Caenorhabditis elegans: one gene and its partners. The protein of the gene in region 2 interacts with the protein of the main gene of each other region in a pairwise test. Each region holds a gene or a part of one and is shown on either strand. Other genes may lie near its edges.

The links.
Region 1: the proteins of dab-1 (region 2) and itsn-1 interact in a two-hybrid assay, tested with the Caenorhabditis elegans proteins (3 studies listed by BioGRID).
Region 3: the proteins of dab-1 (region 2) and ehs-1 interact in a two-hybrid assay, tested with the Caenorhabditis elegans proteins (2 studies listed by BioGRID).
Region 4: the proteins of dab-1 (region 2) and lrp-2 interact in a two-hybrid assay, tested with the Caenorhabditis elegans proteins (one study listed by BioGRID).

The regions. Positions count from the first base shown.
Region 1 is NC_003282.8:17,118,039-17,125,715, reverse strand, and holds the start of itsn-1 (Intersectin-1), read right to left. Parts: upstream 6,035-7,677; 5' UTR 6,033-6,034; coding exon 5,883-6,032; intron 5,832-5,882; coding exon 5,247-5,831; intron 4,764-5,246; coding exon 4,302-4,763; intron 4,155-4,301; coding exon 3,930-4,154; intron 3,890-3,929; coding exon 3,253-3,889; intron 2,472-3,252; coding exon 2,101-2,471; intron 1,515-2,100; coding exon 1,198-1,514; intron 298-1,197; coding exon 1-297. Other genes in the region: uaf-2 (Splicing factor U2AF 35 kDa subunit), read left to right, coding at 7,173-7,265, 7,317-7,651.
Region 2 is NC_003280.10:8,220,365-8,228,397, forward strand, and holds the start of dab-1 (PID domain-containing protein), read left to right. Parts: upstream 1-2,023; 5' UTR 2,024-2,111; intron 2,112-5,951; 5' UTR 5,952-5,965; coding exon 5,966-6,074; intron 6,075-6,355; exon of another isoform or gene 6,356-6,476; coding exon of another isoform or gene 6,477-6,537; intron 6,538-6,583; coding exon 6,584-6,639; intron 6,640-6,692; coding exon 6,693-7,112; intron 7,113-7,188; coding exon 7,189-7,829; intron 7,830-7,874; coding exon 7,875-8,022; intron 8,023-8,033. Other genes in the region: ifg-1 (MIF4G domain-containing protein), read left to right, coding at 1-373, 420-645, 717-878.
Region 3 is NC_003280.10:5,818,859-5,824,388, reverse strand, and holds ehs-1 (Eps15 (endocytosis protein) Homologous Sequence), read right to left. Parts: upstream 3,678-5,530; 5' UTR 3,670-3,677; coding exon 3,607-3,669; intron 3,560-3,606; coding exon 3,379-3,559; intron 3,296-3,378; coding exon 3,183-3,295; intron 3,137-3,182; coding exon 3,005-3,136; intron 2,891-3,004; coding exon 2,181-2,890; intron 2,128-2,180; coding exon 1,211-2,127; intron 1,113-1,210; coding exon 911-1,112; exon of another isoform or gene 864-910; coding exon 791-863; 3' UTR 527-790; downstream 1-526. Other genes in the region: tbc-2 (PH domain-containing protein), read left to right, coding at 1-38, 90-232, 283-303.
Region 4 is NC_003279.8:3,950,977-3,955,547, forward strand, and holds the start of lrp-2 (EGF-like domain-containing protein), read right to left. Parts: upstream 3,016-4,571; 5' UTR 2,967-3,015; coding exon 2,882-2,966; intron 2,471-2,881; coding exon 2,324-2,470; intron 2,242-2,323; coding exon 2,104-2,241; intron 2,052-2,103; coding exon 1,776-2,051; intron 1,481-1,775; coding exon 1,361-1,480; intron 1,294-1,360; coding exon 1-1,293.

The DNA of each region.
Region 1 (7,677 bases), on a different chromosome or scaffold from region 2:
GGAAACCATCCGGCGATTGGTTTTCCATTTCGAATCAGCTCGCCTTCCCACCAGCCGGCTGCTGATTTTTCACGAATTTTCACAATTTCGCCAACTTTGATTCCCAATTGATTTGGCGCCGATGCAACAAAATCCACGACAACTTTAGCTTCACAGAGGACGGTTGGTGGAGCCGCTGGAGTTGGAGCTTGAGTTGGTGGAGTCGGATCCCCTGCCTGCTGGACTGATATCTCGACATAGTTGGCTGGGAAGATACCCTCACGTCCGTTGCAACGCCCTTTCCACCATTCATCGTTTCTGAAATTATTTTTTGATTTAAATCACTGAAAATTGATATTTTTGTTTTGGTGTCAGTTTTTCAGTTTTTAAGTAATTTTTTTTTGGCTAAAAAACAAGTTTTTTGGGTTTTTGGGGTTTTTTTTAATATGAAGTTTTTTTGGAAAAAAAAGAGTATTTCGGTTTTTTTTTGCAAAAATTGGATTTTGTCGGGCTTTTTTTTAATTTTGTGGAGAAATTAATTTTTTTGAGAAAATATGCTTTTTTTGGTTTTTAAATTTAATTTTTTTTCGGTAAAAATTGTGTTTTTTGGAAATTGTTTTTTTTTCAGGGTTTTTTTTGACGAAAATGACACATTTTTGGCAAAAGTAAGAAAAATTGTGCCTTTTTTGAAAAAATAGCTTTTTAGGTTTTTTTAATGTTAAAAATGACACTTTTGGATTTTTTCTGAAAAAATCGGTTTAAAACAAAAAAAGTTTTATTGGTAAACATGACGCGTGTTTGGTTTTTTTTTTTGGCAAAACTGAGTTTTATGATTTTTTTTCTGGGGAAAAATGTATTTTTTAGCTGTTTTTGTTGCAAAAATGGAATTTTTTTGGTGTTTTTGGCAAAACGACACATTTTTGGATTTTTTTCTGACAAAAATTAGACTTTTTTGAAAAAAAAAAGGTTTTTTTGGACAAGAAATAGTTTTTTGAGGTTACTTTGCCAAAAATAGGGTTTTCCTTGCAAAATTGGAAACAATTATTTTAAAAATTTTGGGCTTATTTGGTTCAAAATGTAATAAATTGATACCCCGAAACCTTTCGTTTAAGCATAATAATAATAGCGCAAGAATACGAAAAGCTATCAAAAAAATGAAAAAATTCAATTCCAAATGAGCTCCTGTCAAGAGCAGCGAGAGCTCCTCTCTCCACTTACTTCTCGAGCACTAGAATTGTGTCACCGACATGCAGTGCCAAATCTGTTGTCTCGACAGCTTCAAAATCGTAGATCACAGTGTAAAGTTGTTGTTGGGGGGCTGTTTCGGAGGCTTGTAATGTCACATCGGAAGGTACCACGTCGTATTGAGCTCCTGCTGCTGCTCCTGGAGCTCCTGCAGAAGCCTTCGAAGGAGACACAATCGGAGTCGTGGTGCTGGTGGTTGCTCCGACTTCTTTCACATAACTTTTCGGGAACCATCCAATTTCGCCGGCAGGATTTCGACCTTTCCATTTCATTTCTTGCTTTTCTAGTACCTGAAATTAATGTTATTAGTTCGAGTTAAGGTGTACCTTCAAAAATCTAAAAAAAATAGTCTGAAATTCAAGAAAAATCGTGAAAAGAAGAAATGGGAATAAAATCCTAAATTTTTTTTCAAATTTTTGGAAAAATTCCCCAGAAACCACGCTCATTTTTTTGCTGAAAAATAGGTTTTTTTGGGGTAAAAAAGGTTTTTTTTGTTGAAAATTTGGGTTCCTTTGTTGATAAAAATGGGTTTTTTTTTGGTAGAAAACAGGTTTTTTTTTAGAAAAAAGAGTTATTATGGGGAAAATGGTTTTTTTTGGGAAAAAAGGTTATTTTATAAATCATACAATTTAGCTGAAAGATAGATTAAAAATCGATTTTTTCACCGAAAATCCAATTTTTTTTTCAAAAATTCGTCAAAATCACATTTTCAAGCTGTTTTTGCAGGAAAATAGGCTGAAAACTCCTAAGAATTGGCTTAAAACTTCAAATTTTTCAAATTTTCTGCCGGAAAACTTGTAAAATCTCATTTTTTTCAGGTTCAAGCTCAAGAATTTCAGACAATTTTTGGATTTTTCGCAGCAAAATGCTCTCCACCTCAATTGTATCTCCTTTTGCAAATGACAAATCCTCCTCATTACGTGCTCTCCATTGGAATTGTGCAATACATTGAGATATTACTGCTGCTGCTGCTGGAGCACTTGAAGCAGGTGGAGCACCACCTTCTGTCAATCCCATTGCCGCTGCGATTTCCGCTTTCCGCGCCGCTTTCACTCCAATTTGATCTACTGATGAGCTCGGCGTCATGTTTGGTGGCATATTCTGAATAGGTGGATCACCGCCTGGAGTAGGTACTGCTGCGATTGCTTCGACGAATGCTTCTGGGAACCATCCGACTTTCTCACGAAGTTGACCGGCACGCCATCCTGGTTCAGCTGCATGGGATTGGAAGACGATTATGACGTCTCCTAGAAGAAAAATAAATAAAAATTAACTTTTTCTCGAATTTTTGCCTTTTTTTTGTCAAAAATGACACTTTTTGTTAAGTTTTTTCTGACAAAAATTGGTATTTTTTGGGAAAAAAAGGGTTTTTTTTTCACAAAAACGGGGTTTTTAGGTAAACATTGATTAGTGATGGTTTTTTTTGTTGCCAAAAACGAAAAAATCCAAACTTTTTGAAAAATTTCAAAATTTTTTTGAAAAAACTGCGGAAAAATAGTTCTTTTTTCCAATAATTTTTCGTAAAAATTTAAAAATTCCTGAATTTTGGACGTTTTCTCCTACAAATTTCAAAATTTTTGGAATCATTTTCAGCTCAGTTTGAGAATTTTTGAGTAAAATTCCTTGATTTTAGTGGAATTTTGCAATTTTTCAGTTTTTTTTTTCGAAAAAATTCAAATTTTCTGAAATTTTTCACATCTTTTATGCATTTAATTTGTTTTCCATGCAACTATTTCAAAAATATTAAATAAGTCATTTTAAATGAGAGATAAGAATAAAAAAATTGAAATTTTCTTTTTTTTTGGCTTTTTTTCTGGAAAAACTCTTAAAAATTTTAGATAAATTCCTTGATTTTAGTGGAATTTTGCAATTTTTCAGATTTTTTTTTGGAAAAATTTAAAAATTCCTGAATTTTATGCCAAACTTTTTCTCCTACGAATTCCGAAATTTCGAGCTTTTTCCGGAGAAGCTCGTAAATCTACACAACAAAAGGCCATTTAAAGGGACATATTGCTGTTCGGACAGCACCTGGTTCAAAACTGAGCTCATCCTCGGATCTTGCTTCAAACGCAAAAAGAGCTCGACACTTATAAGTGTCATGAATATTGAACGCCGATTGATCAACAGCACCCTTCGAATGAGCTGGCGCCTGAGCAATCTGAGCAAATGGATCCGCTGTCGACGTGGCACCGAAATCCGCGTCGAAACGTTGACTTGCATCGGTTTTATCGAATTCTCCGAATGCATCGTTGAAGTTTGCAGGGAATCCGTTGGTGGTAGTAGGAGCTGGAGCAGGAGCAGGAGCTGGAGCAGCTGAAGCTGGAGCAGATTTCGCTTCAAATTCCCCAATTTTGCTCCTGGCATGTGTCTGAGCATGAACCAGAAGCTCAAACGAATTTCGATATTCTTCTCGTTTTGCGACAAGTTTCGAATAAACATCAGTCTTATACTTTTCCTTATTCGTCTTTAAAATCTCCGTCTGATTATACGATTTCTCTTTTTCTGTGGATAATTCCAGAGCGGCATCTTCTATAGCTTTTCGAATAGCATCTCGTTTCCTTCGCAGTGCTTCTAGTTCACTTTTTCTCTGCGTTGTCTCCTTGTGAGCCGACTGTTTTTGTAGAAGCTGATGGCCGAGTTCTTGAGATTCGATAGCTGTCTGGAACTTTTTTGGGTAATTTGCATATAGATTAAACGCGTATTACCTTCTGATTAGTCTCTTGTAATTCTTTAATTCTCGCGACTTTCTCGTCTCTCGTAGATCTCATTCTCTCAATAAATCCAGTCACTTCTGCTACTGCTTCTTTGGCTTTTCCAATGTCCACTTCAACATCGATAACCTTCTCATCAAGTGCTTGTAATTGAAATTGCAGCGTTTTTTCTCGTTGCTGACGTTGTGCAAGACGCTCGTTCTCTTGTTGCTTCTGGTTCTGAAATTAGGGATTTAAATTTGGTTTTTTTTTATCATGAGTAAATAAAATTTCTGTGTTCCAAAAGTTCAATTTTCAAAAGAAAAACTCAAAAAATCGCCTAGAATCCACATAAAAATTCCATTTTTTCTGTTCAGGCATCTGTACCTGCATCTGTTTAACTTTCGCCTTCTCCATTTGAACTTTTCTCATTTTCTCGTCCTCCTCTCTGCGTCTCTCCATCTCTAGCCTCCGCTTCTTCTCCTCTTCCTCCCGTTGAGCTTCAATTATTCTCTGTCTTTCTAGTTCAGCTTGCCGCTCAACTTCAGCCTGTCGTTCCTTTTCTTGTCTTTCTCTATTTTTCTTCGCTTCTTCTTCTCTCTCTTTCTTCTCTACTTCTGCTCGTCTTCGTTGCTCCTCTTCTTCAAGAACTCTACGTCGTCTCTCCAGTTCTGCCTGACCTTTAGATAGGTTATCCTGTCGCTTATCTTCAAAAGTTTTCGGAGCTGGTGACTTTTGTGGTGGCTCCGCTCCTGGTTCGAGTTCAGGGGTATTGTTGGCTGATCTTGATGAGATTCCGCACATCCGGACAAGTTCCAGCGGGGTTATTTTTGGAAGCGCGAATCCACTCTGAAAAAAAAATTTTTTTAAGTTTTTCAGCGGAAATTTTTATGGTGTTTCATGATTTTAGGGTATTTTCCGATTTTCGTACAGAAAAATTTGAAATTTTGAGATTTTTCAGCGTTTTAACATGAAATTTTGCTGAAAAAAACAAGCAAAACGTTGAAAAATCCTGTAAAATTCACTGAAAAACTATAATTCGTGAAGAAAATACAACCGTGCGGCAGTGTTGCGAAAACTCGCGCCGCATGTTGCAAAGTGGGAGGAGCGTCCACGTGGCTTGACTTTTTATTTTGAAATTCCAAGTTTTTGACAAATAAAATTGAAAATATTCCTTATTTTTGTTGAAAAAACATGAAAAATACAATATTTTCAGATGGAAAGAACCTTTTTCTACATTTTTATATCAATTTTAGATCAGAAAAGTTGGATTTTCATGGAAAAAGTGCAATTTTTGAATAAAGAGCTTCTGGCCGGTAACAAAACACATACTTTGAACATTTCAATCATATACTGAGAAATCGCATACTCATCCACTGATAGCTTTCCATCCTTATTCACATCTGACAAAAACCAGATATGCGCGAGAACATTGGTAGGAAGGCCTGAAAGCCCGAGAGCACTCCGTCCGACTTGTGAGCTCAGGGAGCCCAGACGTTCCTTGTCGAGAGCATTAAACAATTGAGAATATTTTAATTTATTGTGGTGAGGAATCGCCCAGTTTTCCAGCTGCCGGCCTTCGAAGACATTGCGATCATTATTCAAAGGGCTTCCAGCTGAAATCGAGTTGTGTCTGCTAGATGGAGTTCCGGCAATCGAAACCGGTGCAGATGGGATGTATGACTGCGACATTCGACGATCAATGGCCGGTGGAAGAGTTTGTGAGTAGTCTACACTGCCATGCCGGCTTCCAGGCCAGGTTGGTGGAGCATTTCTGGCGGGAACTACCAGCAGGGAAGGCGGAAGTTGCGGAGGAATCGGAATTCCGGCAAGACAATTCAGAGCAAGTCGCATCGCGATAGAGTATTCACGAATATCGAGCCGGCCGTCTTTATCCAAGTCTGACAGCGCCCAGATCTGGAAATTGTTTGAATAAAAACATTTTTTTTTTTAAAGTTTAATATCAACCTGAGAAAGCACTTGCGTTGGCAGATTGCTGCGCATTAGTGCATTTCGTGCAGTGACCGCATCCATAAACGGTTGTCCTCCGGTTAATTGGCCGAACATTGCGAAATTCTTCTGATATTCGGCATCGGAAACTTCCCAAGGATTTGTCATCTGGAGAACAGGGGATTTTTCGACAAAAAATGGGAATTTCGCAACAAAAAAGGGAAAAAACGAGCCATATTTTTCTAATTTAACTGGAAATTTATGCGAAGAATCAGCGAAAATGATGAAAAAACACATGTTTTTGGGCAAACAATAGATTTTTTTGAGCCGCTCCGCTCGCCAGCTGCGTCGCGGTCGTGGCCGTGGCCTAGGTTCCCTCTCGGCCATTTCTGTAAAAATTGGCCGCGGCGCGGCGCGGCCGGCGAGCGAGGCGGCTCAATAAAATGTAATTTTTTGGCTAAAATTCGTGATTTTTCCCTAATTTAGCTGGAAATTTCTATGTAAACTTCCCACGGATTTGTCAATTGGGGGTTTTTCGATTAAAAACGCTAAAAATGCGAATTTCGCAACAAAAAGAGAAAATGCGCCGAAATTTCTGTAAATTTGGATTCAGGAACTGAGAAATAAGAAGAAATAAGAAAGAGGCCAAGCGCCGCCGAAAGCTTATCGATTTTTGCGTGCCCCAAAAGAGGAGTGGTCCCCGAGAGCGCGCGGCGAGAGATGCAAGAGACGCAGAGAATTTTAAAGGAATCAAAAACCCCTTTTTTATATATTTAAAAAAATCAATGTTTTTTTTTTCATTTAAAACTTTGCATTTTAAGAACAAATTTTAGTTTTAGAGTGAAAAATCTCGTATTCTTGAGTTTTCTCCAAATAATTTTGAGCTCCAATTGATTTTTAAATGTTCTTTCAGCCTTGGTGCATGAATTAATCGGTATAATCGCGGAAAATTGAAGAGAAATTCACTTAAATTTCAACTTATTTATTAATCTCTGGTCATGGGAGAAAAAAAGAAAAATAGAGAAAACGCTAGAAAAACGCGCGCGCTCACCTTGCCGACGCTCGCCCCGCCCACAAAAGCGTGCCTCGTTGCGTTTTCGAATTTAGCAGGGCAGTTGGTTATTATTTCCATTTTCTATCTGTTTCAGGTTCGCAGTTTGTTTTTTGCATTGAATTCTTGATATTTTGAGTTTTACGTTGTATTCTGAAGTATTTCCGTCAGAATTTGTGTTTAAAAATCGTAATTCTCAGGGTTTTCCCGCTGAAATTGAATTTTTCGTCAAAAATCATTTTTTTTAGTGAATCCCAATGTCGTATGGTGACGGGCTCTCCGGAGCCGAGTACCTGGCCTCAATCTATGGTACTGAGAAGGATAAAGTCAATTGCTCGTTTTTCTTCAAGGTTTGTTGTGGATTTCTGTGAAAAAATTCAATAATTAAATAATTTTTGCAGACAGGAGCCTGCCGCCACGGAGACAAATGCTCCAGAGCCCATCATACACCGACATTCTCGCCAACAGTTGTGCTCAAAAACTTCTACCACAATCCGGTAGTGGATGTCCGTCAGGCGGATGCTTTCGATAAAGTCGGCAAGCGGAATGATCAGGAACAGCGCTATTTTGACGATTTCTACGAGGAGGTTTTTGTGGAGATGGAGCGAAAATATGGAGAAGTGGAGGAGATCAACGTTTGTGAGAATATCGGAGAACACATGGTCGGAAACGTATACGTCAAATTTATGAAGGAAGAGGACGCCGAGAAAGCAAAGAATGATTTGAATAATCGATGGTGCGTAAGCTGAAGCTGCTGTGTTG
Region 2 (8,033 bases):
TAGCTGCTGCAAAGGAAATCAGTGCAATGTCAATTTCTTCGCGGCGATCCACATCACAAAATTCGAATACTGACAAGACCGACGATGAGCTGACTGAAGAAGAGAAAGCTGTCAGAGCCAAGATTATGAATACCGTTAAATCCGATCTTCTAGAAATGTCTAGTGGTGAGCTCTCCCAAAAGGAATTGGTTGACTCTATCACCGATTATGTTGGAAAAGAAAAATACGGTTCGCCGTCATTGACAGTAGTCTATGAGATGATTATCCGAGCTGTGATCGAAAAAGGTTTGAAGGATGATGATCGAAAGAAGTTGGCTATTGCTCTGCGGATGTCATTGGTCAGCAAGACTGAGAAGCAAGCTTTTATAGAGGGGTAAGGCAAGAGTTTATGATTTATTGAGCTTTACAAATTATTTCAGAGCTACCCGTTTCTGCAAATTCGCTAATGATGTTGAGCTCCAGCAAGATTATCCCAAATTGTGGACCGTTACTGGTGAAGTTCTCGTGAACACAAGTCATGCTCCACATGACGAAATTGGAGAAGTTGAATCTTTCTCATTAGCGGACATGAAGCCAATTTTCTCAGCTGCCAAAGGAGAAGGAAATAAGAAATTTGACCTTCTTGTTCAAGTTTTGAAGCAATTGGTGAGTTATTGCAAATTTTAGTGCTCAGATTCAGTACATTGCGTTTATTTTTTTAATTTAATTTTTTTCAGATCGAGCTTGAGCTTGAAGTGACTGGCGCTGCAGAAGGAATCTCGTGGGAGTTTTCGGACATGAAGTTAAAGACTGAGATGGAAGAAGGACTTTCAGCAGAAATGGAAGCAGTGACGTTTAAAAATGGAAAAACGTTGTCGAGCTATTTGACGGGCAACTAATTTATCGTATTTTTGGATTTTCAAACTCCACAGTAGATTTATAGAGAACTTTTTTGTGTGCTAAAACCCATTTTAATTATCTATATAAGAACGAGTTGTTGATAATACGGTCTAAACATGTCAAGTTTTTCGTTTTTTCGCCGCGCGTCCATCCCTACCGATTTTATGTCTTATTGGGTATCCCATTAATGGTTTTCGATATTATTGCTTGTTTTTCTTTTGTTAGAGGTTTGCAAGAAAAGTTTCAAAATGAATAACTGATTATCATGATTTAGCTGAAGTAAATCAATTTTCAGACATTCAGATCATTTTTCCTGCAAACTTCCGCTCATTCTACAACTCGTCTCGAAACGTGAAGATTCTCTTCATTTTTCGTTTCGAGACGCAGAAATCAACTCGTTATAGCCCCTTTCCCACCCACCTTACCCTTTTCTTCTGATGATCACTAAAAATATCACGTTTTCCTCCAAATCATTAAATATTTATATCCTCATTTGGATTCCCGTTTCGTTTATTTGCTCCCAGTTCCCATTTCTTTCATTCGTTTTTCTATTTGAATAACCCTTTCATAGTCTCCTTGTTTATTGTTTCTAAATTAGCTGTTGGTTTTTTATTGGTTTCTCCCTTCATATTTCCATACCAGTTGGTCCCGAGAACATTTCTTGCTATGCTTGTTTTCGTGCTTAAAGGGTCTTTTCTAAGAGACGGTCGAAAAGTCGCTGAATTTTTTCGGAGTGCTGGAATTTCGTTGAATTGCATCGAATTTATCGTAAAACGAAGACTTTTGACTAGCTCTTAGCTTCATTTCTTTTCCAAATTTCCTAATTGTGTGTAAGTCAGTGCCTTCGGTCTGATTCCTGGATCTTCTAGAAATTGTGACAATTGGTTAATTTTAATATCCTCTCATCAGCCCATCTTAAATTTTCCACTTCCTTGAATTCTACGTTTTTCCTGTTTTAACTAATTGTCCTTCCGTTATTATCATCATCACCACCTCCACCACAAATAAAAATGGGCATCAAAATTGTTTTTTTTTTTTTTCATCATAGTTCTTGTTGGGGTTGTTCCCCATTTATATAGCTTGCTCTGTTTTCTCATCAAATGCTCACAGTTTTACGTTGACTCGATTTTGAATAAATATTTAGGAAATCGTGTCACTGGCGAATGTAAATGAAATCTAATATGAGAAGGAATAATATAAACAGTAATCGAGAGAATTTCGCCGTTTCGCAGGTTTGTTTGAATTTATTTAAAATTTAGACCTATAAAATTAAATAGTTTTTGAAAAAATTTGCTACAGTAACCTTTGATCTACCCGCGCAAATCTCAATTCTTTTTTCGTTAGAAACTTCATTCATCTTTCCTTGAGACAGGTTTTCAATTTTTGTCATTTTTCTTTACATTATAAAATTTTAAACTTTATTCTCGATCTGCGTAGTAATGGTGATGCTTGTCGAGGTTTGCGACAATGAATAGAAGAATAGGCAACTGATTTCTTTCAATTTTATTCGCTTCTCTCTCTCGTCTTCGCCTCAAAACTATTCTCTCAGTCTAAGACAAAAAACTGGTCTGGACACAGTGACTGTATGCAGAGTGTTTTTAACCCTTTTCTACCTCTCGTGTGCGCGCACGCTCACATACACACGCGGAGGATGTCCGTGAAGAAAAGAAAAGTAGAAGAGGATGAGAGACGTAGACATGTCCAGCATGCAGCATTAGTAGGGGTCCCTCTTCAGTCGATATTTGTCTCAATTTGAGTGGAGGCAAAGGAAAGCCGGCTTTTTTGGTGATCTGATCCTGTCAGTTTTATTTATGCATGATAAAATTAGTGGTTTCTGAGGCGTCCTTTTTTAAGAAAACTCGAATATCTTAATTATAAAATTATAAAATATCATTCAATATCCCTAGTAATGAAATTTTCTACCTTTTTATCTGAGTTTTTAGACGAAACGATGCGGGTTTTAAAAGAGTTTTGGAGATAAATACATTCTGTTTCCAAAAAAATTAACGCTTCGTACTGAACCATATTGTTGACATGGTGCATAGTGACATGGTTTCCCGTTTCAATAGAGCTTAGTATAGTAGTAGTTAATTAATCTACATCTTCTCTGTATGCTTTGTAGTAAATAAACATTATTTTACTTTCTATTTTAGAGAACTACCATTGGTACTCACAAGTTTCGTTTTCTTGTCTCTATTATTTAGTTTCCATGATCTTCACAATTTTGGTTTGAAACCATTGTCCATGTTTTTTTTTCTGCGCAGTTTCGGGTAATTATCCTGTCCCGCCGTTCGTCCCCACCCAATCCTCCCGTCAACACCAAAAAGCGTTCGTTCCGCTTCAATTACTTGAATCGATAGATGTTATTCGTCAATCCTCGTGGTCTCGGCACGAAAAGTCCCTCGCTTTATTCACCGTCCCTCCCACTCATGCTTTTGTTTAGATGAGTCACTATTGTTTCTTTCCGCCTACTACTACTGACTCGGCTGCAATTTTGACCTCAACTCCAATTACTTACGTGTTCGATCGATTTGGTTAGTGTGTCCTTCAGATGGTATTGTTGTGTGTTGAAGAAGTATAACACATTTCTTATTTCGCATCTTTTATTGTGTGTTCATATTGGAATTATAATCCCTTCGTAGTACGGTCTCTTTCCAATAATTGTTTTGATGCTTTTGAGAATTTTGGGTGTTTCTCTTCTCGATTTTTTGTTTTCAATAACAACAACAAAAAGAAATAAAATTCATTTTTTCGAAGTTACTTTTTGTGTTTTCAACGGTCACCTTCAATTTCCGCTCCGAAAAAGAACCTGATTTTCATAAAACGTCCGCCGCCGCTTCGTCGTCGTCATCAACAGAATTTTATCATCGCATCAGACTTGAATAGAAGCGAAAACGAAAAAAAAGACATCATTATATTAATAGTAATTTTCTAATGATGGCCATGATCACAAGTGTGTTGAGATTTCTCCGATTAGTAGATGTAGGAGACGTTGATGATGATGGTGCTGACGAAGTATTCAGTTAGATGAACGTTATTCTGCTTCTTTTCATTCTCATTCTTGACGCCTGCTTGTTTTCCGTTTCTCCGGTTTTTGGTTTGCCTCATTTGAATATATGCTACAGTACTCGACATGAGTGTAAATACTTAGGTTTCCGTATCTGACAGCTAAGCTTATTACGATTCCCGACGGATTTGACATTAATAGACCTAGCTGCATTAATGTTGTTCCTTTATTTTTGTCCTTATAATAATGCTGAATAAGAATGATATTTTAATTATTTTTGAACCGAACAAAAAATTTGCGTAATGTGCAGTACCCTAAAACGATTTCAAATTATCCCTATCGATTTGAAAGTTTTTGAAATATTTTGGTAAATTACGCTGGTTAGGATATAATTATTATGTTGCTATTCACTGTTTCCCAAGTTTTCAATTCGATACTAACCCATATAAAAGAGAAACAAGATTTTTCTTGCCTTCGTGTCTAACATCTTCTTCCAATATTTCGATTTTCTTGCCCATTTTCCCATCCACTGTCCAGGTGACGCATTAATTCAACGCAGCAAAATGTGAAATCAAGATGTTACGTAACGGGGGATCCTAGCCTAGGAATCATCAAGATCAGAGAGGTAAAAGGACATCAGATAGAGGCAGATAAATTCACAAGAGACTGACTGCAGCTGTCTTTCTTTTACGTCATGTTTGCAAAATGACTGGCGGCATCCCCGAAGGTGTGTGTGTCCTGTAAATCTAGTAGTCAAGCACACATTGAGTTTTGGAGGAAAAGGAGGAGTGTTCCGGCGAGTTTCCGCGCGGAAGAAGAGAGTGTGAGAGCAACTTGATCGTCTGGTTGCTGAGCAAAGCTACGCACACCTTTTGGCCATGTTTCCGTCGTTCTGGCTATTGTTCCATATTTGTATTGATTTTCCCTATTTGGTTTAGTCATGAAATGTTTCTCTGCAAAACTTGACGACATTACCTGATTGTTGGTCAACAAATCTTCTTTATTTTTGTCGTTTTTGTTACACATAAGAGTTTTGGGATCGCCCAAACGATTTCCGATAGTTTTATGGCTGATTTCTCTTGATTTCGTAATAATTCAGATCCTCACAGTTGTCGTATTCTCCAGTCAACACAGTAGTGACTCACTTCGGTTTGGATGACTAACAATGTCAATCTGTTTTCGTTTTCTTTCTTCTACTGTGATTTAGTGTTCTATTATGCATTGACTATTACAATAATTAAGTTACAGTCCTGATCTCGATTTTATGAAACTAACTACATCACACACTACGTACTCCCATTCCTGTCAAGATTGTAATCAGCTGATGTAAAAGAATGTCCCCTGACCGCAAAATAAATGAAGAACAGTCTATTTTTCTTAGTTCAAGGTTGACTGTAATAAAATAAAAAAGATTGAATTGAATATTTGTAAAAAATCAATTTCTCGGCTTCATAGAATTTTTCGCCAGATCTTACGCGCTCGGTCTCGCCACGCGGACAACGGGTTACTGTAACTCGTATCAACTTTAGATTACGTCTACGTAATGATCTCGCGTTTTTTGAAATATTATTCTGAATCATGTCATAAATTAATTAGAATATATCGTCGCTCAAATTGGAAAGGTGTGTCTTCAAAATATTTGTCAGTATGAAATAACTTTATTTACCTAAGAATTATTTTCAAGATTGCATAGTGCTTTTGAAAAGTATTGCTATTTGAATCCGACATTTTTTCTTATTTCCATTTCGAAAGTAATAACAAGTACATATCCAGTGTCAACTTGTCACCTTGAAGTATGAAAAATGACTACTGCACTTTTTCACGGTCGTCTTCATTTTTTTGTATTCTTTTATTCCGATATGGAGATGAAAACCGGTCGATCATGTGCCCCCAAGGGGGCTGATCATGATTTCACCCTCCTTTCACACTCTATCCCCCACCACCACCTCACAATTCTTTTTGGTCTCACTTTCGTTCCAAAAAGCTTTGTTATACTCTTAGTTTTCTTTTACTGTAATTTTTAAATTCTATTTTTTTTTCGTTGTAATAAATCTTATTTCTAAAGGTTCTCTCGAAACAATGGCTCAAAAGTCGGATATATCAGTGGAAACGGCAAATGCAACATCTGGAAAACCAAATCCACCATCACCAAAGTCCCGACTTGCAATGCTGAAGAGAACCAAGAAAGGTGAGAACATAGCTGAGTTCCGAAAAAATGATTTCTCAATTTTTGAGAGTATCCAATTGTGAATGTAGAGATATCAATTTGATAATTTAACGAGAAGATAGCCTTTTTGCCAATTTTCAACAGATAGATAATGTTATCTTTTTGTTATCTATAACATTTTCAGGAAAGAGTTCAAAGTTTATTGGTTCACTCTTTCTTTTCCCCCAAAAACTTGTGACAATGATCTGCCAAGCAGAAAGTTTGCTCCTTTCTTCTCTGCGTCTCACTTCGTTTTCTTATCTCTTTACGCTCTCTAGCGCCCGCTCTATGTGATTTCTATATCGATTTCTAACGAGTGTTTGTATACTTTTAAACTCATTAATAGATTTTGCAAATTTCATTTTAAGTGAATACCTAATTATCATGAAAAAGACGCAATTAGGGCGTTCGTTTTCCAAATCATTCAAGCAGAAAAAGGCGCGGGGTATGATTTACTCTATAATTATCAATCTAAAATTTAAACTTTTTAGCATCAAATGCATCATCGGATCCGTTTCGCTTTCAAAACAATGGAATTTCCTACAAGGTGAGTTTTTTTTAATGATTCATGTAGTAGTTTTTGTAAAATTGTTATTTCAGGGAAAGCTGATCGGAGAACAAGATGTGGACAAGGCTCGAGGAGATGCAATGTGTGCTGAAGCAATGCGAACTGCCAAGAGTATTATCAAGGCTGCTGGAGCTCACAAAACACGTATTACTCTTCAAATCAACATTGATGGAATCAAAGTTCTTGATGAAAAGAGCGGCGCTGTTCTTCATAATTTCCCAGTATCAAGAATCTCTTTCATCGCTCGTGATTCTTCTGATGCTCGAGCTTTTGGACTTGTTTACGGTGAACCTGGAGGCAAGTACAAGTTCTATGGAATCAAAACAGCACAGGCAGCTGATCAAGCAGTTCTTGCTATCAGAGACATGTTCCAAGTTGTTTTTGAAATGAAGAAAAAACAGATTGAGCAAGTTAAGCAACAACAGATTCAAGATGGTGGAGCTGAAATTAGTGTGAGTTTTTAGAATAATTCCAAAGATCCAATGCATTTTTAAATTATAAAAGTCCATTGTTATGACTTTATAAAAGTTCCAGAGCAAGAAGGAAGGTGGAGTCGCCGTCGCTGATCTTCTCGACTTGGAATCCGAACTTCAGCAAATTGAACGAGGAGTTCAACAACTTTCAACTGTCCCGACAAACTGTGATGCCTTCGGAGCATCACCATTTGGAGATCCTTTCGTAGACAGCTTCAACAGTACAGCCACGTCAAATGGAACTGCAAATATGTCTGGAACTCAAGTGCCATTTGGAGGACTTCAACTTCCACAAGTTCAACAAATGCAGATGCCAATGGTTCAAATTCCTCAACAATCTCATCAGAATTGGCCAACATCCGGAGCTGGATCATTTGACGCTTGGGGACAACAACAACAGCAGCAACAAATGCACCATGCTCATAGTACACCTGCTTTCGGAACAAACGGATTCTCGGATACTAATCCATTTGCGTCGGCTTTCAATACTCAAGCTCCGCCACCACCACTTCCAACTGTTGCTCCAACACAATACCGTGATCCATTCTCTGTACATTCCTCTGCTATTCCAAATTCAAATATTGATTGGACTGGAACTGGGACTACGAAAGAGAATATGGCACCATCTACTAATATCCAACAACAGCAGTCATCATTGCATCACGCCAGCACTTTTGCCAACTTTGGAGATAATAAGTGAGTGATATTCTAAAACCTAAATTAATAATAATCAAAAACAAGATTCAGGGCCGAAACCTGGAGTGAAAAGAAGGTGACGTCGCTTGAAGAAGCTTTCACGAAATTGGTTGATATGGACGCATTGGTTGGTGGACAGGGTATCAAGGAGACAAAAAAGAATCCATTTGAGCATATCTTAAACCCACCAAAGGTACAATTTAA
Region 3 (5,530 bases), 2.4 Mb from region 2:
AATATGCGAACCTCACGTTCTTCAATGTAAAACTATTGGTTTGTGACTTACAACTTTAAATTTATTAGTTTTTTAACAAGAATTTTCAGGCACAGTTCATCAATGTCTCAGCAAAGCTCAAGAACATATCATTGACTTCAAGTCGCTAGCTCAAGTGGCATTCAACGAACTGAATCCGTTCCCTCAGAAGACTATAGAAACTAAACGACAACTCTATTTGACACAATTGAAGGTAAACAGTAATATATAAATAAATTCTAATATAGCGATTATTATTTTCAGGATACTGGCCACTGTATGTAAATCCGACACGAACATTCTTGTACATCTAATCTGTATTTTCTTTCGATTTCTAGCATAATTATGTCTTCTTCACACAACTTTTTCACTATTATTTTCAAACTTCTGTGATTCTCCTTTTTCCTTATCAATTTCTTTTACGGTTTACTTCCCCCCCTTCAACCCGTTTACTTGTGCTCCGTTTTTACACATGAGACTGAAAATATCAAATACGCAACATAAAATTAATCTGCAAATCATTTACTATATATTATAACTCATAATTTACATAATAATCATGCATATTCATATTCTACAGTATATAACATTATTGCTCTGATTTCATAACCTAGAAAAGTGACAATTCAAGTGGGAAAGTGCAAAAAAACTAATCTTAAAAATGTGCATCAATAAATTATGTCGATGACTTGGCACAGGTAAACATTTGGGCAAAGTAAAACAATTTGACTGGCGTTGGGGCTTATAGTGGGTAAGGTATAATTATTAAAAATCAATTGAAAGCCGATCCAAAGTCCGCAAAATCAGCGAATCCAGCCGGTTGAGTTGATTGTCCTTGTGATGGGCTGAAATTATTTAGACTTTAAATAAATTGATACTCACTAAGACTTACGCAAAAGGATCATTGACAGGTGTTTCGCGAGCAGATTTTGGAGGAGCTGGGCGAGGTGGAGCAGGTTTTGCGGGAGCCGATTGTGCGAAGCCAGAATCCGATGGGAAGCCTCCTTGAGCAAATGGATCAGTTGGGAAAGCGGCATCAAAATGTCCAGATGAGCCGAACTGATCTACTTGGGCGAATGGATCAGCAGCAGGATCTGGAAATTGAATTTATGTTATATATTCATATTTCAAAACTTTAAGTCAGAATAAAAGTTTTCATAACTCTTTTTGTTTCTTAAAAATATAAACCTACTTGCTCTGGCGGATGCAAACGGATCAGGTGGTTGTTGAACATGATTTTGAGATGATGTTCCAGCTGTTTCTCCATAAACAGTGTCATCGGATAGCAACGATTGATCGATTACAGTAGACAATAATCGTTGTTGCGACCTCAGAATTTGAACCATTTCCTCCTCGGATTTTTCGACTGCATCTGATACTTGTTCTGTTAGTTTTGTCGTGTTCTCGATTGCAGCATCCAGCTTTTCCATTTGTATCTGATCTCTTGCTTCTTTTCGTTCTAGAGTTGTCAATTCGGCCACCTTTTGCTCTCTTTGTGATGTTTCTTTGACAATTTCTCCACGAACAGTTTTGAATTGATTATCGAGCATTTCAATTTCTTTTTTCAATTCTTCCATTTCTTTTTCATCATTTGCTTTACAGTCCTCAGCATTCTTTGCATCTTCATCAATTTGTTGCATTCGTTTCTCGGTATCTTCTTTCGTTTCTTTCTGTGCTTTACATGCTGATTCTAACTGTTCTATTTGAGTATCATAATCAGCTAATCTTCGTGTGGCTTCACCTTTTTGTCGCTCCAACTGTTTAACTGTCGACTCCAAGGTGGCCAATTCAACCTGCAGATTTTTGATACTCGAGTTCTTAATAGTCATATCAGCTTCTAGTTGTAAAACAGCTTCTTCTGCAGTTTTCCGCTCCACCAGCATTGATTGAATAGACTCTGCGAGCTGCTTCATCTCTTCGTTTTCGCCTTCCAAAGCTTCTTTAATTTCCATCGAAGTTGCTTCTGGGAGCTGTGGAGTTGAAACTGATTGAGCAGGATGATGCAAAGCTGAAGGTTCCGTAGGTGGGCGGAATGAAGGTGGAATCAGATGTAAAGGCAGTTCTGATGGGATGGACTCGCCTCGTTTTGCCATGTCAAGAAGATGCATTCTGAAAATTAATATTTAGTTACACTAGATATTTGGTAAACTTGAAAGACTTACGTCAAAGCAAATTGCTCCAAATTCAACTGTCCACATTTTTTTATATCTGCTAATGCCCAGACATGTGCTAATATCTGTGCACTCAATCCAGTAGTCATCATGGGAGCTCTCATATCCATGCCATCAACCAATCCATCCTTATTCGTATCAGTTTGAGCAAATTGATCAGCATAATCTCCTGTATTGATAGGCCATTCACCAGCAGGAAATGAGTGAATCGAGTGAGAAGCAGATATCGGAGTTGATGCACCACTGGTTCGTGATCCATTCACATGAGCCTGTGCAGAGTAAGCACGACCTGGTTGTGGTGGATATGCACGTGGCATCGTTGCAGAATACGATTGACTCATGTTCACATCATCCAATGACGTCACAGATCCTGCTCTCGATCCCATCATCGGACGTGGAGGATGTGGAGGAGCAGCGAAATTCGGTGAGCTGTGAGCATACATTGCTTTCGAAGGATGAATGAGATTTGGTGGGAGCTGTGCAGGAACCGGGTCTGATTGAAGTGATCGGTATACAAGATGAAGTGCAACAGACATTTCGATTCGATCAAGGTTTCCATCTTTGTCCTGATCCGAAAGTTCCCAAATTCGAGCCAGAGCATGAGCATCAAGTCCAGAGTTCATCAGAACCGGGCGTACGTGTGCACCAGACAATTTTCCGTTTACAGGATTCAATGATTGGAAGATGGAGTCATATTTAGCCTGAAATAATTACAAGAATATTTGATCAAATCTGTAAAGGAAAATAACTGTCAATTCTCTATTCGTGCCAATAGAAAGATTTTTTAAAAGTTTTTAATTCTCAGTTTTTGCTACCTGGTCAGTTGGTGTTATCGGCCATTGTGGTGGAAAAGCTGACGATGGATGAGCTGGAGAAGATTGTTGAGAAGAGATCGAATAAGGATGTGATGGATGTGGTGGTGGTGGCACTGGAGGAGCACGGCCAACCTGAATAATAACACTTAGAAATAGAGGAACCACTTTTCAGTCAAACCGATGGGAACGATGGTTGGAAATGATGCTGCATGTTTGCTGGTGGTACAGGTGGTGCAAACCGTGGTGGCTGAAGGGAAGAATCGTAGAGGGAAGAATTGGCGACGGGCTTCCCTGAAATATTTTGCTGTTAAGGTTACTTTTGAGCATATCGTATTTTCAACAAAATATGATTCCAAATAGGTAATAAAAGTTACCTTGTTGAGCAGCTGCGACTAGTTTAAAAGCAACAAATGCTCCTCTCTTATCTAATGATCCAACTTTTTGAGAGTCGCTAAGCTCCCATATCTGGCCTAACACAGGCATCGCCAAGTTTGATTTTTTAAGGAAAGTAGCTGCTTCTGCAGCTCCTATTCTTGGTGCTCCGTGAGGGTTCATCTGGAATATAACAATTGTTAACGTATTACAAATTGTTAAATATTTACCTCTGCGAATGCGTGATTAAAAACATCATTGTGCGGTGTAGCTATCGCGTATGAATCATCCATGTTGAAAGCTGAAACATTCCAGATAATAAAAGAAAAAAATTAAATATAGTGAAATTTAAGACTATTTTTAAATGAAACAGAAATAAAAGAAAGTTCACTAAAATGTATTGAAGATTGTTAAAAAGAAGAAGGCGTTGCGAGGAATAACGTCGTGTGTCTTCTGAATGAAAGCTCTCTCTCTGCGCCTCTCAACTACTTCCGAGCACTCTAGTACATCGATTTTCCGTCTCTTTTAAGCTTTCGTTTCCTTTTCATGTCGGTCCCTTTTCTCTTTTGGTGAACCAACGGAGGAAGAGAATGTGAAATATGCAAAAGTATTGAGTTTCAGTGGGAAGAGTCCCGGCCCTCTATGATAATGATTACAAAACAAATATATTGATTTAAATTGTAGCCAATTTTTGAAACAGGAATATATTTAACATTTTTCATTAACGGTGAGATAAAAAAATATCCCAATAACCCTATAATATATAATTATTATAAATAAACTAATTCGCAAAAGACTAAACCTGAATGACTCATTGTCGCAGTTTGTCGTCACTGTGTTTACACACACATTGTCAAGTTAATTTTATTCTGTCAAAACGGGAGAAAATAATCTGCGTATAATGCAATATTGTTTGCAATATATATTGTAATATTGTTTGCAATATATATTGCAAATAAAGCGTCTACATCGTAATTATTGAAAATAGTGATAAAATTAAATATTCAACAGATAGCATTAAAAAATCTTGCAACAGTAAATGAGAGAATTAATTAAAATCGTTAAATTAAAAACAATTAATTCTGAAAATTAAAATTTTCACTGTCGCGGACGAGTTTTCAGAAGCGCTCTATTGATAATTGTGAAAAACTTCGGCCGTGAACAACACGAGGACAATATCAAGAAACAGGCGAGCATTCGAAATATATTATTTGTAAATACAAGCAAAATAAATCAAATACACCCGTTAGTGGAATGTTTTCCTATATCATACATCTAATTTGAATATAAAACTCAAATTATCGTATCCCCATTGGCGAAATTTTCCGATTTTAACACCCAAAATACGGTACCGGGTCTCGACACGACTGATTTTTTTGAATTTAAAATCGTGTCTTTGAGGAGTACTGTAGTTTATTTCAATTTTCCAAGATTACCTTCTCATGTCCCCAGAATTAATTTAGTGAAAATCAAGGGAAACACAGGACACAATAAAACATTGAGTTTCGAAGACCTGGGACTAATTAAACAAAAGTAAGCCTGAAACCGCCTATCCTGAACCGAATGGCAATTTTGAAACTACTCCAGTTAGCTAGAAAAATATATATTTTGAGCAATAAAAATGTTTTCCGAGTAATCGAATGATAAACACAACAATGAAAATGAATAATTGTTTATTAATAATTGTTAGATTGTTAGATAGATAAAATGAAAGTTCTTTCAAATGCAGTCAGCTCCATCTTTCATCATCTCTTATCTATGAATTCAAGGCATTGCATATGATCTTGTTGATAATTCTGAAATCTAAAAAATTCGTTCTGTTAGTTCTCTAGAAACGGCTCTCGAACATACAACTTCTTCTCAAAATGATACATGCGAGGAAGTTCTGTAACAAAGTATTCAAAGAAAGTTCGTATATCACAATATCATATTTTGAAATTTGGAAACATGGTAGACAATATTATTTTTCAAATTATAAAATCAGCAACCAGTGAATCAGGAAAAAAATTATTTAGAAGTTCTATGGGTTGTATTCGATCGGAAGATTCTTGCAAGAAATATCTGTAGAAACAACGAAGCGACGAAGCCAGCTGATCTAGAGGATAAGCGACAAGTGTATATATATTCAATTTACAGAAAGAAACAACACAGGCA
Region 4 (4,571 bases), on a different chromosome or scaffold from region 2:
TGTAGAGGTTATCCGATGTAAAATCATAAGCCATTCCTTCACAGTTCATGATTCCAGTAAGTCCGTGAACTGTGTAATTTGTGGATCCAATCTTTTGCACTACAAGTGAATGCCTTCTCAAATCATACATCAGAAGTTGTTCTCCTTTTGGATCAAAAGTCATTGCACTCGGACGTTTGACATTCAGAAGATCTGAGACTCCGATGATCTCTGTCCGATAGTTCTTGTCGAATCCAAGGATCTTGATCCTCGAAGGTCTTAACTGAGCAAGAACAAATAATTCTTCATCTTTAAGATCTTTCGAGGCGGAACATTTTGTGTTATTCTGAATGTACCCATCTCTACAAAAACACGACGAAGTTTGATTGATATGCCCTATACACATATCATCACACATTGCCGCTTTGCAAATATTCTTTCCCTTGTTCTTCCATGCATGCTCATTTCGTCGAAAGTGCAAAACTTCAAGGATCTGAATATTCTCGTTCCCTTGTTTTCTCTGAGGTGTCACTTCCTGCCAAATCTTCATATCAGAATTCGAATCCAATGCATTCATTGCAAATACTCGATTGTCTTTCAGTGTCAGAAACAACCGACCCTCTGCGTAATCAATCATTTTAACTTCTTTCGCAATTCGGCCACTAACAATAGTTCTTGAGTAGTTTGCATTATAGTCAACGGCTTTGATGGATCGTGCGCCAATATCCACAAAGTATAATGTCTCGGTGAATGGGTCAATTGCAAGTGCAGGAGAAGTAATCGGTTGATAGGATAGTCGGTATCGTTGACCAGATGCTACATCGATTCTCCATATTCCTTGTTGTAAAACATCAACTTCAGATACCAAAAGCTGTCCGTTCAATCCATCATACTTCATATCTTGAATTGTTCCCATATCACCTGCGGTAACAGTTCGACAGGACGATATTCGTACACTATTATGCTTGCAAATGAATACATAATAAGAAGCATCCGTAAAAATCCAGTTGTTACCAATATTATCGAATCGTATGATGTGAATAGAAGACAAATCAAAATCAATTGCATAAGTCTTGGTTGCAGGTTCGGAGCCTTCAACATTTCCGCATGTGATATAACTATCATTTGCCGATGGAGATTCGGAGAGACAGAGTATTGGAACAGTGGCCTCCGGGAAGTCAGGATGCTGGATGACAAGAGTCATTGCTCCGGGTTTTCCTAGTGGTCGAGGCATGCTTGAATAGCTAGACATCTTGTTTTTCTGAAGCACAAAGAGCTTTTTCTTGGTGAGAATTGCTACACTGGGGATGGTTTCTGAAATAAGTTTTTTGTTTTTTTTTTTTTGAAATAAAAGTGTTCATCAAAAAAATTTTAAACTCACGATCTTTATCAGCCACACAATGCGTTCCATTGACAACTGTGAGCCTGGGATCGAAGCAGGAACACGTGAAAGTACCGTTCTTGTTGTCAGTGCAATCTTGACTGCATACAGGGGGAAGTCCTGAAAGTCTACTTTTCACTTTCTGAAGTTTTTTAAACATTTATTTCCCATGTTGTTGCTTTGTCTTATTCTTAGACGTTTTTGTCGATTTCTCATCGATTTTTTTTTCAAACTTCGCCCGTTTTTTTTCTTTTTTCTAAATAAAAAAACGTTGAAAAAATTTAAAGCAAAATTTTTTTTTAAATTCATTCAGGGGCTATTTTAAAGTTCATCCTAACAATTTGAGCTTTACCTTTTTAAAACGTAGGAAACGTAAAACTGTTGAATATTTTTTCATACTTAAAAAAAAACTCACCATTTTTGGTTCGTTCACAATGATTTACAAATTCACATTTTCCTTGCTCATTCAAAAACTTGTTCTTCGGACAGTAACACTTGATTCCATCAATCGTCATTGCTGCTCCATACTCACAACTGTCGGCTGTCTTTGGATCTTCCACGTGGCACATCGAATGCTCATCCGAGCCATCCGAACAGTCGCGTTTACCATCACAGAATTTGAAGAGAGGCACGCATTGTGCGGATTTTGAACACGCGTACTCGTTGTAATCACAGTGTAGTGGTTGATTGCCTGGAAAGTTTAGACATGAAGCGCCACGAAAATAAAATTTTCAAAGACTTACAAAGTTCAGGAGCTTCATCAGAAAGGTCGCGGTCTCCGTTTGGAAGACGTCCACAGTCGTATTGCGAATCACACAAATAGCCACGTGGCAGACATTTACCCGTTTTGCACACAAACTCGTTTTCTAGACACGTTCGTTCTGAAATTGGAATAATTAAACGAATTTTGTGGTTGAAATATGTTCTCAAAAAGACAATAGAAAAATTAAAATAGCAACTCACTACACGTGGAAGGCTCATCTGAACTGTCCTGACAATCTGGAAACCCGTCACAATACCACTGTTCCGGATAGCATTTTGGACCGCCCGGCGATTTTGCATCGCATTCTCGCATCGGTGCAACACATTCTGGGTAGTGGGGTTGGGTTTCTGAAAAAGGTTTTTTGATTCCGAAAAGTAAAAAAAATACAGGCAATTTGCTATTTTTCCAAATTTATACGGCTTTAGAATAAAATTTTTTCAAACTATTTGAAAATTCTCGATGCATTTACACACTTCACGAGTAAATTTTACTACACTGACATGGCAAAATTTTCCGAATTTTGAAAATATACAGTATCCGGTCTTAGTACAAAAATACTTCGTTAAGCGTAAGAAGGTGTGTGCCTTTGAAGATTACTGTAATTTCCAACCACTTGTTTCTACAAAACTTCATTGATTTTTCAACACATTTTTAGATTAAAAAAAATCAACGTCTTTGAAAATTACTGGCGCCCACACTTTACATTTAACAAAAAAAAATTTCGTGACTGGATCGAGTACCGTAGGAAAAAAGCTCACCCTCCGCTGACGTCTCATCTGACTGAACGAGGCTGAAACCCTGAAGGGCAACAAGAAGAATAACTAAATAACGGGCGGAGAGCATCGGAATGTGTGCAGCACCTTCATGGAGAGTCGAGAGGTACAGGTTTTGACTGAAATTAGCAAAAAAAGATGAAAAAGGAAAAAAGGGAGACAAGTTCAAAAGTCAAAAAGTAAAACGATTACGAGAAATCAATGTGATTTTAATTCAAGAACCCCCTTCTGTCTAATTGCCATTTCGTTTCGGTTCAGATGACCCAATATATTGTAGATGTTCAAATGGCAATAGAGAGAGAAAAGAAGAAAGTAAGACATTTGGAAAAGAGAAGGAAAGATGGCGATGAGCCAAATGCAATAAACAAAATTAAACTGACAAAGAGGAAATGTGAACACGAACACGAACACACAAGATTTATAAAGTATGAGGCGTTGGGGGAAGGGAAGAAGGAGCAGGAAGACGAAGTCAAAAAACAAGTTTGCTCTTTTTTATGAGATTTTTCTCAGAAAGAAGCTAGCAAAAAAAAAATCCATTTTTCGCTTTTACCGGAAAAGGTAACCGAGCAAAAACTAACTGTAAAACTCAGCGATTTATTAATTTTACACCTTTTTTAAAAATTACTTTTGGAATTTTAAATGCAAGTATTTTTAACGTATTCAATTTTTTTGGTTTTCTTGTGTTTTTTTTTGGTTTAGATCAATTCATAAAACGAATTGTATTAAACTAAAACACAAAACTAAAAAAATACTTTTTAGAAAGTAACATTCCAAATTAAAAAAAAATTTATGGAGTCCCTCAAGGAGTATAAACTAAAACTATTGAAGCTCTCCACGCAAGAATCCTTTTTAAAACCCCAAAAAGAAAATAACCAAACTACCTACAATTTTGAGATTTCCCTCACCAACAGACAACAAGGCCAAAAAAGGTACACGAGTAGAGAAGATGAGACTCAGACTGGTCGAGTAAAAATGAAACAATGAAAAATAACTTTTTGGTGATTCGGGGCAGTGTCAAAGGCAATTGGCAGGCGACGACGAAGAAGAAAAGAGTTATGTTTTGGTACATAGGCGGCGATGAAAGAAATGGGAAAGGAAGGTGGGGGGGGGGGGGGGGGTAAATGGAACAGTATGTGGACACAAAGAGGCAATTTAATAGATTGACTGTGAAAACGTTTAGCGTAAGTACATTCAATTAATAGTTTACAATACTGAGAGCAAAAATATAAGTTTTCGTTTTCTAGAAATAAATTGGCACAACTTTAGCAGATTCTCATAGATATCAAAAAAAAAAATTTAACTGCAAATTTGTAGAGTTAGTCACGATAAATGTTTTGTCAGTTTACAACTTTTTAGTAAAATCAAAAACTAACGAAATATGGACGCTGTAGTTTCAATAGTTATGGTTAAGTGCAAAAGTTATGCAAAAAAATTGAACAGCTAGCACGCGCACCTTCTAAAAATTTCAAACATGGCGTCTGCAAGAGTACGCTTTTTTTGCTCCACTGAGACTTTTTTATGAATAAAGCGAACTAAGAGCTCCTGAATAATTTCATCCAGACCGCACACATTCGACGCGCAACAATAAAAAAACGGAATGTGATCCGACAAAAAGCGGCAAGTAAGTAGGCAATAAAACTGGAGACATTCATCTCTGGGTGTCTTTTTTTGACTT